3 linked regions of the Solanum lycopersicum genome follow. The main gene of each other region encodes a partner of the protein of the gene in region 2 in a complex. Links are inferred from orthologs where the notes say so. Each region holds a gene or a part of one and is shown on either strand. Other genes may lie near its edges.

What was found. The genes of interacting proteins can lie anywhere in the genome.
Region 1: the proteins of probable inactive ATP-dependent zinc metalloprotease FTSHI 4, chloroplastic (region 2) and ATP-dependent zinc metalloprotease FTSH 12, chloroplastic are in contact, whole or in part, in a cryo-EM structure (PDB 8XKU), measured with the Arabidopsis thaliana proteins. The link is inferred for Solanum lycopersicum from reciprocal best matches to the Arabidopsis thaliana genes EMB3144 and FTSH12. Residues at the interface, in NP_201263.2 of Arabidopsis thaliana: Lys91, Leu92, Arg93, Glu94, Glu96, Arg97, Leu100, Met103, Glu104, Val112, Glu115, Arg116, Val119, Met120, Asp123, Arg126, Tyr167, Tyr170, Asn213, Trp216, Lys217, His220, Val224, Asn225, Val226, Glu227, Val228, Asn230, Val231, Val234; in NP_565212.1 of Arabidopsis thaliana: Leu255, Ile258, Ile259, Asn262, Arg264, Ile265, Gln266, Lys270, Leu273, Leu277, Val279, Lys359, Leu360, Pro361, Tyr362, Thr363, Tyr364, Leu366, Lys368, Glu373, Asp382, Lys384, Arg385, Met390, Glu392, Tyr398, Asp401, Ile402, Pro403, Leu404.
Region 3: the proteins of probable inactive ATP-dependent zinc metalloprotease FTSHI 4, chloroplastic (region 2) and uncharacterized protein are in contact, whole or in part, in a cryo-EM structure (PDB 8XKV), measured with the Arabidopsis thaliana proteins. The link is inferred for Solanum lycopersicum from reciprocal best matches to the Arabidopsis thaliana genes EMB3144 and emb2737. Residues at the interface, in NP_201263.2 of Arabidopsis thaliana: Asn149, Phe150, Ser151, Met154, Tyr170, Gly171, Gln172, Arg206, Met207, Pro208, Ile209, Asp210, Gly211, Asn213, Asp214, Asp232, Val233, Val234, Glu237, Thr240, Thr241, Thr244, Phe245, Trp248, Leu252, Phe255, Val256, Tyr259, Asp263, Thr266; in NP_001032071.1 of Arabidopsis thaliana: Pro63, Glu64, Ser67, Ser70, Tyr71, Ser73, Val74, Val77, Ala78, Leu80, Gly81, Asp84, Ile85, Asp88, Lys92, Cys102, Asn103, Trp105, Gln106, Ala107, Leu108, Arg109, Lys114, Gly115, Thr116, Gly117, Gly173, Thr174, Gly175, Ala176.

The regions. Positions count from the first base shown.
Region 1 is NC_090801.1:59,816,112-59,819,362, reverse strand, and holds the end of ATP-dependent zinc metalloprotease FTSH 12, chloroplastic, read right to left. Parts: intron 1,367-3,251; coding exon 1,286-1,366; intron 935-1,285; coding exon 857-934; 3' UTR 519-856; downstream 1-518. UniProt on the Arabidopsis thaliana protein: Probable ATP-dependent zinc metallopeptidase.
Region 2 is NC_090803.1:56,950,354-56,953,924, reverse strand, and holds part of probable inactive ATP-dependent zinc metalloprotease FTSHI 4, chloroplastic, read right to left. Parts: intron 371-3,571; coding exon 112-370; intron 1-111. UniProt on the Arabidopsis thaliana protein: Functions in chloroplast biogenesis and chloroplast division. Required for plastid development during embryogenesis. Might be involved in chaperone functions or play a structural role in the thylakoid FtsH complex.
Region 3 is NC_090811.1:5,248,322-5,251,892, reverse strand, and holds part of uncharacterized protein, read right to left. Parts: intron 2,250-3,571; coding exon 2,178-2,249; intron 2,102-2,177; coding exon 1,964-2,101; intron 1,620-1,963; coding exon 1,464-1,619; intron 12-1,463; coding exon 1-11.

The DNA.
Region 1 (3,251 bases), on a different chromosome or scaffold from region 2:
TTACGCAGAACAGAAATTTGTTTTTTTAAAGACACAAATATAACTTGTAAGATATTATTATAGAAACAAATGTACTTATGTTCCTCATGGGATACAATCCCGACCTCATATGTTGGGTTATATGATGTGTGCGTAGTTGAGCGTTATCAATGGATCTTAATATTTTCTTACCAAACATTAATATTGCTTGATTATTATTTCTATTTATAAATATGTCTTCATTTGATGGGTTCACTATTCGATAGTTATTTGTAGTGTATTTTAAGAAAGTTTTGAAAGGCGTACAAATGCCCTGAAATTACATGTGGGACTTAAATTCTATGCATGTGGCTCACCTAGCCGATTTTACACAAAGTTGTGTCAAATTCGTTAGTTAAGCTTTGTTGACTCTCATATGTGCTTAATAGTTTGTTTTTTTTTTCTTTTTACCTATAGATATAAGAATATTGAGAATAACTCAAACAAGTCATAGTATTGTACATTTACTACTCCATTTGAGAACATCGAGAGGATGAATATATACTTAACATTAACTTATATAAATAGCCAAATTTTACATTTTCGATTCTCATTGGTCTTTCTTGTACAAAGTTGCTCTATTTAAACCATGAAATAAATTAAGGGAAAAGAAAAGAGAGCAAAAGAAGGAAAGAAGAAACAAAAATGTGCCTAAATAATAAAAAATGGAACATTTGCAACCCAACCTTACTATCTACTAAGCAGCCTTTCTGTTGGTTTGCAAAGGTTTTGGTCAGAGTTGATGTGAAAAAGGACATTGTCTCTAAACCTCAACATTCACTACTAGGCAACTTCCGATGTCGGTCTGACCAGAAAACTCAAACAACCACCATTGATGTTAACTTCTGTGGAGGGGCGCAGGATAAATGTCCAGCGGTTGATAACTCAAACGGTCATTATGAGGCAATGGTCCTTCCTGAGAATTTAAAACATTTTTATAGGCACAGTACAATTGAGAAAATCAAAATCTGCATGAGATTGCGAGCTAAAAATATTCACAAGGAAGAAGGTTGCCCCTGACTCAGATCATTAAGCAAAAGCACGCGACAAGCCTCGTACAATCTACTTTGAGAGCCCCATCCCCGTCATGCAAAGCAACAGGATGTTTAAAACAAAAATAACAGCAGACATATTACTGGGTTGCATTGTACACATTCTATATTATCCCTATTCTCACGTTTCTAAAGAGAATGGTATTGTTATAAAGACTTCACATTATCTCTTGAAAGTAAATATGAAGATTGAGAATCTGAAAATATTATATTACCTCCTCCATGTTTATTTGGAAAGGCTTCACAAAATCTTCGAACATGGCAGGCTGTAACCCTCTCATTTTGTCTTCTACTTCCTGAAGAAGCAACAGAGGGTGTCAACAGAAATAAGGATGCAAACAAAAGATGTAGACAAGCTAAACAAACTGGGAGTACACTTGGAGATTTTGATGAAAATTATCAGGTATTCTCTGTTCTAAAAAAACCTATAAGTATAGGTTACGGGTGGCAAAATGGTTAAATTTTTACCATTCCAGGCAGTATTGCCCAAATAAAGCTGCCAGAGGATAAGAGTTAAAATGTTCAATGTTTTGCTTGGAAAAACTACCAGTTTCCTGAATCTTGGTAATGTGGAAACAAATTGAAATATGCATTTGAAACAGTTTATCAAGGCTTAAACTAATTGATATTAGCTCATCAAAAGGTGGTTATCCACTCTAAACATCTGTGGAGGTACCAAGTGATAATTAAACGAAGTCTGCAAGTCATTTTAAATCTCCTGTTCAAGTTTCAAATTTATTATCAATCTTGAATTTATCACTGTCTGACAGCTTGAGGAGCGACAATGAAGAATGTTAATTGGCATGTATGTTTCAGTATCAGTACTACAATGAGCTCCTTTCTATGTTGCTCGGACTCTTCAAAAATGCGAATAGGTGCGTGTCAAATTCGCCAAAAGTAGTGTATTTTTGAAGAATCCGAGATGGGTGCGGCATCAACAATGAAGAGTTCGCTCAACTAAGGCTCCTTTTGTGTCATAGCATCCTCTTTTTCTAACTATCAAGAAGATCCTCTCTAGTATTTGTCAATGCTCTGGCACTTGACAGCTTCCTACATATAGCAAGATATAAAGGAACCATTTCGTTTGACGTTCCAAGTAAATCCTTCTGAACCAAATTAAGTCCATGAGCCCTTGAAAGTTTGGTTAAAAGTGGCATTTGGTGTATACACATATCTCTTATTTGATTCTGTCGTGAATGATAGGTATTACATAGGTTCTTCTCTCTGCTAGTTCAATTATAACTAACCTGTGTAGCTCATATACTGCTCCACTACGCATTCTTTTCAAGAAATTCTATGTGAGATTCCCTTTGTAAAAATGAACATACAAATAGTTTATAATAGGTTTTTTTTCAGTAAATATGGTTTACATTAGGGAATTGGGGAGTTTCTAAGCCTGACAATACTCTAAGGGGTCGTTTGATAGAGTGTATTAGAGAAAATAATGCATGCATTAGTTTGATGTATTAGTAGTACTTTGTTTGGTACACTTTTCTAGCCAATGCATAACTAATGCTTGTGTTAGTAATACACTCTATTGTGTATTAAAGAGTGTATTACTAATGCCATCTATTTCTATGCATTAGTAATGCAATGGGTTCTAATGCATGCATTAACATTATAAAAGACACAATTGGCCTTAAAAACTTTTTTTATCCTTTCCACCATATTTAAGGAGGGTATTTTTTAAACAATTTTTTTTTTCTAAAAATATTATGCAATGCATTATATTTAAAACTTGCATTAAATTAATAATTACAAAACTACCCTCAAAGCCTTTTTGAAACATTTCCCAACATTTTCTTTTCTTTTAATTTCTTTGTTATGTGTTTTCATTTTCATCTATTTTTCTGTCTTTTAATTTGTTGGTGTTTTAATAGACTTTATGGCCTCTTAGATATATTTTTTGTAAAAAAATAATAATCTAATTTCAACATAATTTAATAAGAAAAATTACTATTGTGGCGATAAATTTGATAAAAGAAATTCTTTTCCAACTTTTCACAAAAATATTATGACTCAATAGTACAACTATTTAATATTATTTTTGAAAAAGAAGAAGAAGAAGAAGAGGAGGAGTTAATGATGTTTTAGCAAATGACTTTGTTGCAGCTTGCAAGAAAGTGTATAAATAAATAAAGTGTGAAGGGTATTTTTGTAAACATATATTTTCAAATAGTA
Region 2 (3,571 bases):
AGTGGATGTTGTTGCCCAAAAGAATAGTCAATTAAAGAAACTTTAATAATCTTGCAGCTGTTAGAATTTACTCTTCCATGTAAGTGTGTCGGAATTGCAAGTACTTCTCACCTCAACAAAATCAGTACCGTTAGCAGCAAAAAAAGGTAATCCTGCTTCTCCAGCTATAGCTTTTGCCAGAAGTGTTTTGCCAGTTCCAGGAGGACCATGAAGAAGCACACCTTTTGGGCAATAAATCCCTTTGTCTTGAAACTCTTCTTCATTCCTCAATATTCGAACTATCTCTTGAAGTTCTCTCTTAATATATTCTTGGCCAGCAAAATCATCAAAAGTTATACCAGTCTTTTCTTCTGCTGATATGAATTTTGCACTGATGGCAGATGGTAAAAAGAAAATTAGATACGTACAGTGTTTTTTTTAATTTAAGAAGATATTATTGATGTTTGGGAGAAAGAAACGACCATACACAAGAGATAAGCCAAAAAGTAGAAAATCTGCAAAAACAAATGTTTTTTATACCAAAGGCATCCAATCTTCTATACCTAAGGGGATCTCATGGATGCACCAAAAAGCAATATGGGATGAGGGCTAGTCCTCAACTAAACTAAATTTATCACCATCCCTTCAAAAGCTCTCCTATTTCTTTCTCTCCACACAATCCACTAAGTGCTACATTCCAAACCCTATGTCTTTTCCTCCGTCTGCCACAATGACAGCTGGTCAACATTGCTTTCAAAGCGCCCGGCATCACCCATTGTACTCCAAACCATGCCAGAGTTTCCCACCATAATCTCGAGAGTCGAGAATGACCAGCAATAAAGAAGAAGATTATTAATGTGCCCAGGCCCTTGCACATAAACCACCAACTGACATAAGAGAGTTTTCTCTTCCTTACATTCTAGGTGTCATGATTACCCCCCCTAGCCACTAACCAAGTGAAAGAAAAATATACATCTCTTGGAATCACAGAAATCCAAATCGAATCATAAGGATAGTCAATCTCCTTCCTGGTCAACATCTTCTCTTTTTTTAACAAGGTGAATTTTATTAGTATTTCGGGGAACAATATATACAAGCCATACACCAAAAAAGAGAACCTCCACCAAATAATGGTTCTCAAATAATGGTTCTCAACAGAAGAGATCCAATCCTCTATACAAATTGGGACCTCGCAAGTACACCAAAAAGAAACTAGGGACAAAACACTACTCTTCATTTTTACAATATCAAGTTCCACACCTTCAGAAGCCCTCATATTCCTCTCTTTCCAAATGACCCACGTGATTGATAAGGGGGCAATGCACCGCCAAAAATACAAATAAACAAGCCGCCTTAGTGCTCTAGGATCAAATGGAGTCTTGGAGGTAAATACCTACCTCTCTCACTAGCAACTTCTTGTAAAAAGAGCAAACGGTGAATAAGCCATCACCACTCTCTTGCAACCTACATACATCCATTAAGTTGTTTGGTGTGCCTAGGCTATACAAAAGCTGAATCAATTGTGAAATTCTTCCATCTCACAATGATTTAGGTTGCTTTTGAATCTTAAGTCATGGTGGATAACACCCATCCACTCATGAGACCTACAAATTTGTTGGATTGTCATCTCTCGCTGGCTAGATTCACGATATAAATTAGGTAAGGCTTCCTTCAACTCGATCTCCTTACACCACTTATGTGTCCTCAACTAAACCTACTTCCGTCCCCAACCTTGAAAGAGATATGTCCACAAAAATGTTTTCACCCCTTCATGATACTCCTCCACAAACCATACCTAAATAAAGTTACAATGTTTTTTATACTCGATCCACCATCCATTATGCCATATTTATCCACCACCACCCTCCAAAGAGCAGTCTCCTCCATCCCGAATGTCCATATCCACTTCCCTAACAAAGCTTTATTGTACATCCTGAAATCTTTCACTCCAGCCCTCCCCATTTCTTTGGAGATGCTAGCAAGACAAGACTTCAGACCCGTTCCACCACCTATTTGCTATATCCACATAATCTAGTTCTCTGAGCTACATGTTCTTGAATCTAAACGAAATGCGCAAACTGCTCCTTCTACTCCCATCTAGCAAGATAGGCGTATGATCCAAGGTCAATCTAGGTAATGGGACTTGCAACACATTTGGGACCAACTCCACTCAATCAGTGGATACCAAGAATCTAACAAATCTAGATTTTGATGTGGAATCACCTGCTCTGGCCCAAGTAAATTTGTCCTGTCAAAGGAAGATCAAGAAGATATTGGTTATCAACAAACTCTAAAGACTCCTCCATCGCCCTAAAAATCACCCTTGCAATCCACTCTCCAGTCATGAAATCTTACAGTGTTAAAATCCCCTCCTAACACCCAAGGGACCTCCCACCCTATCATCATAGTGGATATCTCTTCCCACAAACTCTCTTTCCCTCACCAGACTGTACACCCTCCTTTCCCCGAGGCCTAATTCCTCATCACTTCCAAAGATTTTACCAGCAATGCGACCATAAACTCCCCCTTGCTTACCTCCATCATGTCTAATTTCTGTCATCCCCAAAAACTTTGATACCCATGCATTCCCTAAAGTCGAAACCCAATCATATTTGCCCATCCACCACCCAAATCAAGACTTCTCACCACCGCATTTGTCACCACCTCCATTTTAGTCTCTTAGAGGCACAATAGTCCAACCCCCAAACCCCACCCCAACTCTCTACTCCCATTTTAGTAATAGCTCTCTTATAAGGGTCACTCATTCCCCCTTCACATTCTAAGAAATAATTTTTACTTCCGTAATCAACAACTTTACCCTCACACAAATCCTCCCATCTCATGTACCCCCACTCTAACTCCTACTCCTACATCTCCTCTTGAACACCAGTAGGTTAGAATTTACCCTAACCAGCAATCCTCCAATCTCCTATACCCCAACTCTTACTCCTACTCCTACCTCTCCTCTTGTACTCCAGCAAGTTACCTTCTCCCTTTTATCCTTCCGCATACTCTTTCCCTTACCCACCCTCATGTCAACAATCTCCTTTTCTCTAACCCCTCTTGCCTCTTGTTCAATGCCTCGAGGGAGTTCTAACACCCTACCCTCCTTCCCTTCAAAGAACACTCCCAAAAATTCCGCGAACATCAAGTATTTCTCTCCCTCCCTACTAATCAAGCTTCTACCTTCCTCAGAACATGCTAATGGCAACATATCATCCTCCTAAACATCATAACATCCATATTTAGTACCCAAAAACAGTTAACAGTTAACAAAAACATGACTAGCAGCCCTTTCTCCTTAGAAGAAGAAAAATGGAGTTGGAACCAGTAAAACAGGTTCAAAATTCCGGATCTGAGATTTTCCAGCCGGACCCAAGACAATTTCCGGCTCCGGCGAGGTCGCCGGAGGTGAACCAACCCTAAAACCACTTCCATCCCGGGTTGCCCACCAACCTAGAGTGGTCATCACCCTTTCGAAAAGTCGGACGAGTTCCCTTCAGCCTATGATTTACATAAACCAGCTTGCTGAAACTGGGATTCCGTCACCTGGCCTTGCGAGAACTCCAGATCTAACAATCTGCCGGCCCCC
Region 3 (3,571 bases), on a different chromosome or scaffold from region 2:
ATTTTGTTAAGCTGAGATATGAACAAAAAATAACAGAGAAGAGAACATATCAGCAACTAATATCAGTAATATAGATGTTTATTTGTCCGACAAAAAGATATCGGGAAAATATGAGATAATTGTTAGTTCAATCAAATTGTAGACACCAGCTACACACAAAAAATATGAATCAAGATACATGTTTCAGATGCCAGAGAAGGTACCCGTACCACACATACAGTATTGTCAGTCATCTGCATTCCAGAGATAGAACTTTAAGGGGTTGTTTGGTAGAATGTATTAGCAAAAGTAATGTATGTATTAACTCTGTGTATTAGTAATATCTTGTTTGGTATATTTTTTCATGCTATGTATAACTAATGTACACTCTATTGTACATTAAGATGTGTATTACTAATACCATGGATTTCTAGATATTAGTAATGCAAGGGGTTTTAATGCATGCATTAGCATAGTTAAAGACTTATTGCCCCTGAAAATCTTTTTTACATCTTTTTGAACATAATTGTGAAGGGTTTCTTTAGTCAGTAAATATTTTTATGCAATGCATGCTATTTTTAATACACCAAAGCAAATAAAGCATAAGAAATCTATGTATAATTAATGCAAACATTACTAAGCATTATCAATGCACCTCTTGAAGACTCATGTCTAGAACACGCTTAAAATCATTTTCACGAAGTTCAAGAATGTACATATTACAGGTAATAAATTTGAAGGAGATAGTCAAGACTTTTGCTTGAATATCATTTAGTTAAGGTGCCACTTCATAATACTTCGCGCTACAAGTTGTATTGGACTTTGCCACACACTTTAAACTTTTGAATACTTTTTTAGAAGAGTAAGCTACTAAGAGACTTCTTCTCTACATTCAGCAAGAAACAAATTGAATAGGAGAAATATTACATTCCTGGAGATAAAGTCATTCAATCTGAGGCAAAGAAAATAGGAGTATTGATTATCAGGAAAATTCTTAACCAGTTCAAACTTGAAAGCACAAACTAGCAGGCACAAGAAAGAAAAATTGTACTTCAGTGAAGTCACTATGTAATACTTTACAAAGCAAGCAAAATACCAAAACAGAGAGAGGGTAAAAGAAATTCAGAAGCGGCATACATTTATGGATCTTTGAATTATTATTATGAAACTGGAGCCATACATCTAATTTGTTTGTTGTTGTTTTTTCGCGCTTCTGTGATTGAACAAGAACATCAAATTCTATCCTAGCAGTTTAATCAGTAAAATCATGAGGGAAACTAAAGTGTCCATGTTTAAGGGAAAAGGTCAAATTTGTCCAGATGAACAGGGTTAAAAAATAATCAGAAACCCATACGACATTTTTTTCCCTCTTCGTATCTAGACAAACAGCAACTAAGCCTTAGTCTTAAACAAGTTGGGGTTGGTTAGAAATTCTCAATACTCTCTACTGACATTTCAGGAAAAGAAATCTCTGATAGACCAACCTTTTCTTCTCTCCATTTCGCTTCCCACTGGGCATCCAGCATCTTTTCAGAAATTTCTCTCTGTGCATTAAGAAGAACTGTCATCTCATAGAGCTTTTTTGGGTCTTTGAGGTCCTTTTCACTCCAAGAAGATGCGTTTAATGGAAGGTTCAACTCCTGCAAATGGTTGTATTACCCCGTATGAATATAAGGAAAATAACAATAACAATAGAAGAGCAAGAGAGAACTTCCTGACAAATCAACAGCATGCTGACCTTCCAAATTAATCACTTGAACTTAAGATGCGGAGGAAATTTTAATACACACTTAAGACAGCCGATAGAAGCAGAACTTTCCCGTCTTTTTTAGCTTTTCTAAGGGGACTTTGTCGGAAAAACAAGTTATCTAATGTACAATGGTTATTCACAATAACTCCAAGATAAACCATACAGAAAATAGCGGGCATTTAAACAAGAATGTAACTAGAAATAGTAAGAAATTCTAGTAAAGATAAAACATACCCCCCAATTTTGAGGACGCGGCGGAGGGTCAAGCTTCATGACTTCTGCCTCCAGAGTTTTCTTGGCCTTGAAGTAAGGAACGTTTTTCACAATAATAGGATCTTCTCTTGCTCGGGCAGGATCAATAGAGACCAAGGCCTGTAAGATAATTTAGTCAAGAAAGTTGATCGGGATATTACTCAGACATATTTACCACAAAAAAAAAATGTCATACTTCTTGCAAATACTCCCATCCAGGTTTTCTCTTGGCCACCACATCTCGAAGTTGATCATATCGCATAGATTCCTGGAATGCAAACACGACTACATAAGCTGTCAGCAAAATCTGGCTTCCAAGTGTTCTAGACTTCCAGACTATGAAACCCTCAAATAGGTAAAAGATGAAATAAAATAAGGCAATCAATTTCATCTGTCATTTTTCATAAAAGCAGATGCCGATGAATTTAGTTTGAATCTATTGGATCTATATGTTGTCTTTTATCAATATATTTTACGTGTGAAAATGTTAATTTTGCAACAAGAAGACAACTTCAGAACTTCATTATAATCATAGATGAAAACTCAAAAGTCATCTCTTCAATGAGTTTAACAGTCGAAATGGCTTTTCTCTGAACGTCACAGCCAATTGTACAAGGCTTGTATTGTGAGATTCCGCAATAGCTAAAAGAACTTTGATTATGCAGATTGAAGGGAATTGTGGTACATAAATCCTTAAAAGGAGGGAAGAGGATGAGAAAAACAACAGAGACATCAATAAAAGACCTGTTACTTGACATCGAGTGGCGGATGTTTGTAGATAAAGCTGAATAAAGCAAATGGGTTCCTGACTTCCTGTATCCGAACCCAGCAATAGGATAAGGCTTACTGGGACTTAGGTTGAAACTCTACCACAGTTAATCTTTGCATAAGAATTTCGAGATAAAATAATCATCTGAATAGAACATATATGATTATGAAGCATGAACTTCTTTTACCATTGACAGGGCCATGAACTATAACAAAGAGTCAAAAATGTAAAAATAATTTTTTATCTACATTTTCCATTACACTGGAAGCTCTTTTTCTTTCACAGGGATTCAAAAAGTTATATGCATACAGAAAATTGCTTTTATCCTATTGCAAAGATTAATTTTTGGATGAAGGGGATTCAATTGAATTCCCTTCTTTACACGTGGCTCAGCCGCTGTTCCTTGCCAATATATCATTGTTCAATTTTTACCAGAGTGAACTTAGATGAAGCATGTTTACACAGAAAGAAAAAGAATATGAAGCATTTTGAAATCAAACAGCACAAAATTGAACTCCCGCCATTCCAATTTTTGTGGCAATTTGAATAGGAATGGACTTTAAGAAAGGAAGATTTTTGAGACTGATGATCATAACCATGTCTCAAAATTTAAGATTTGTGTGGCTTTAAGGCTTTAGAAGCCTGTGGTTTTAAAAATTCCATAACATGTGTGGCTATAAAATCTTCTCATTAAAGGTACATTGGAAGTACTTCTTCAATCATTTCCTAATTTAGAAAGTTGTCATTCTTAAAGGAACAAACTAAAAGGGAAAGGTTGCCAAAGAAACTACAAGGAAGTGAATACATTGACCACAGGGCAT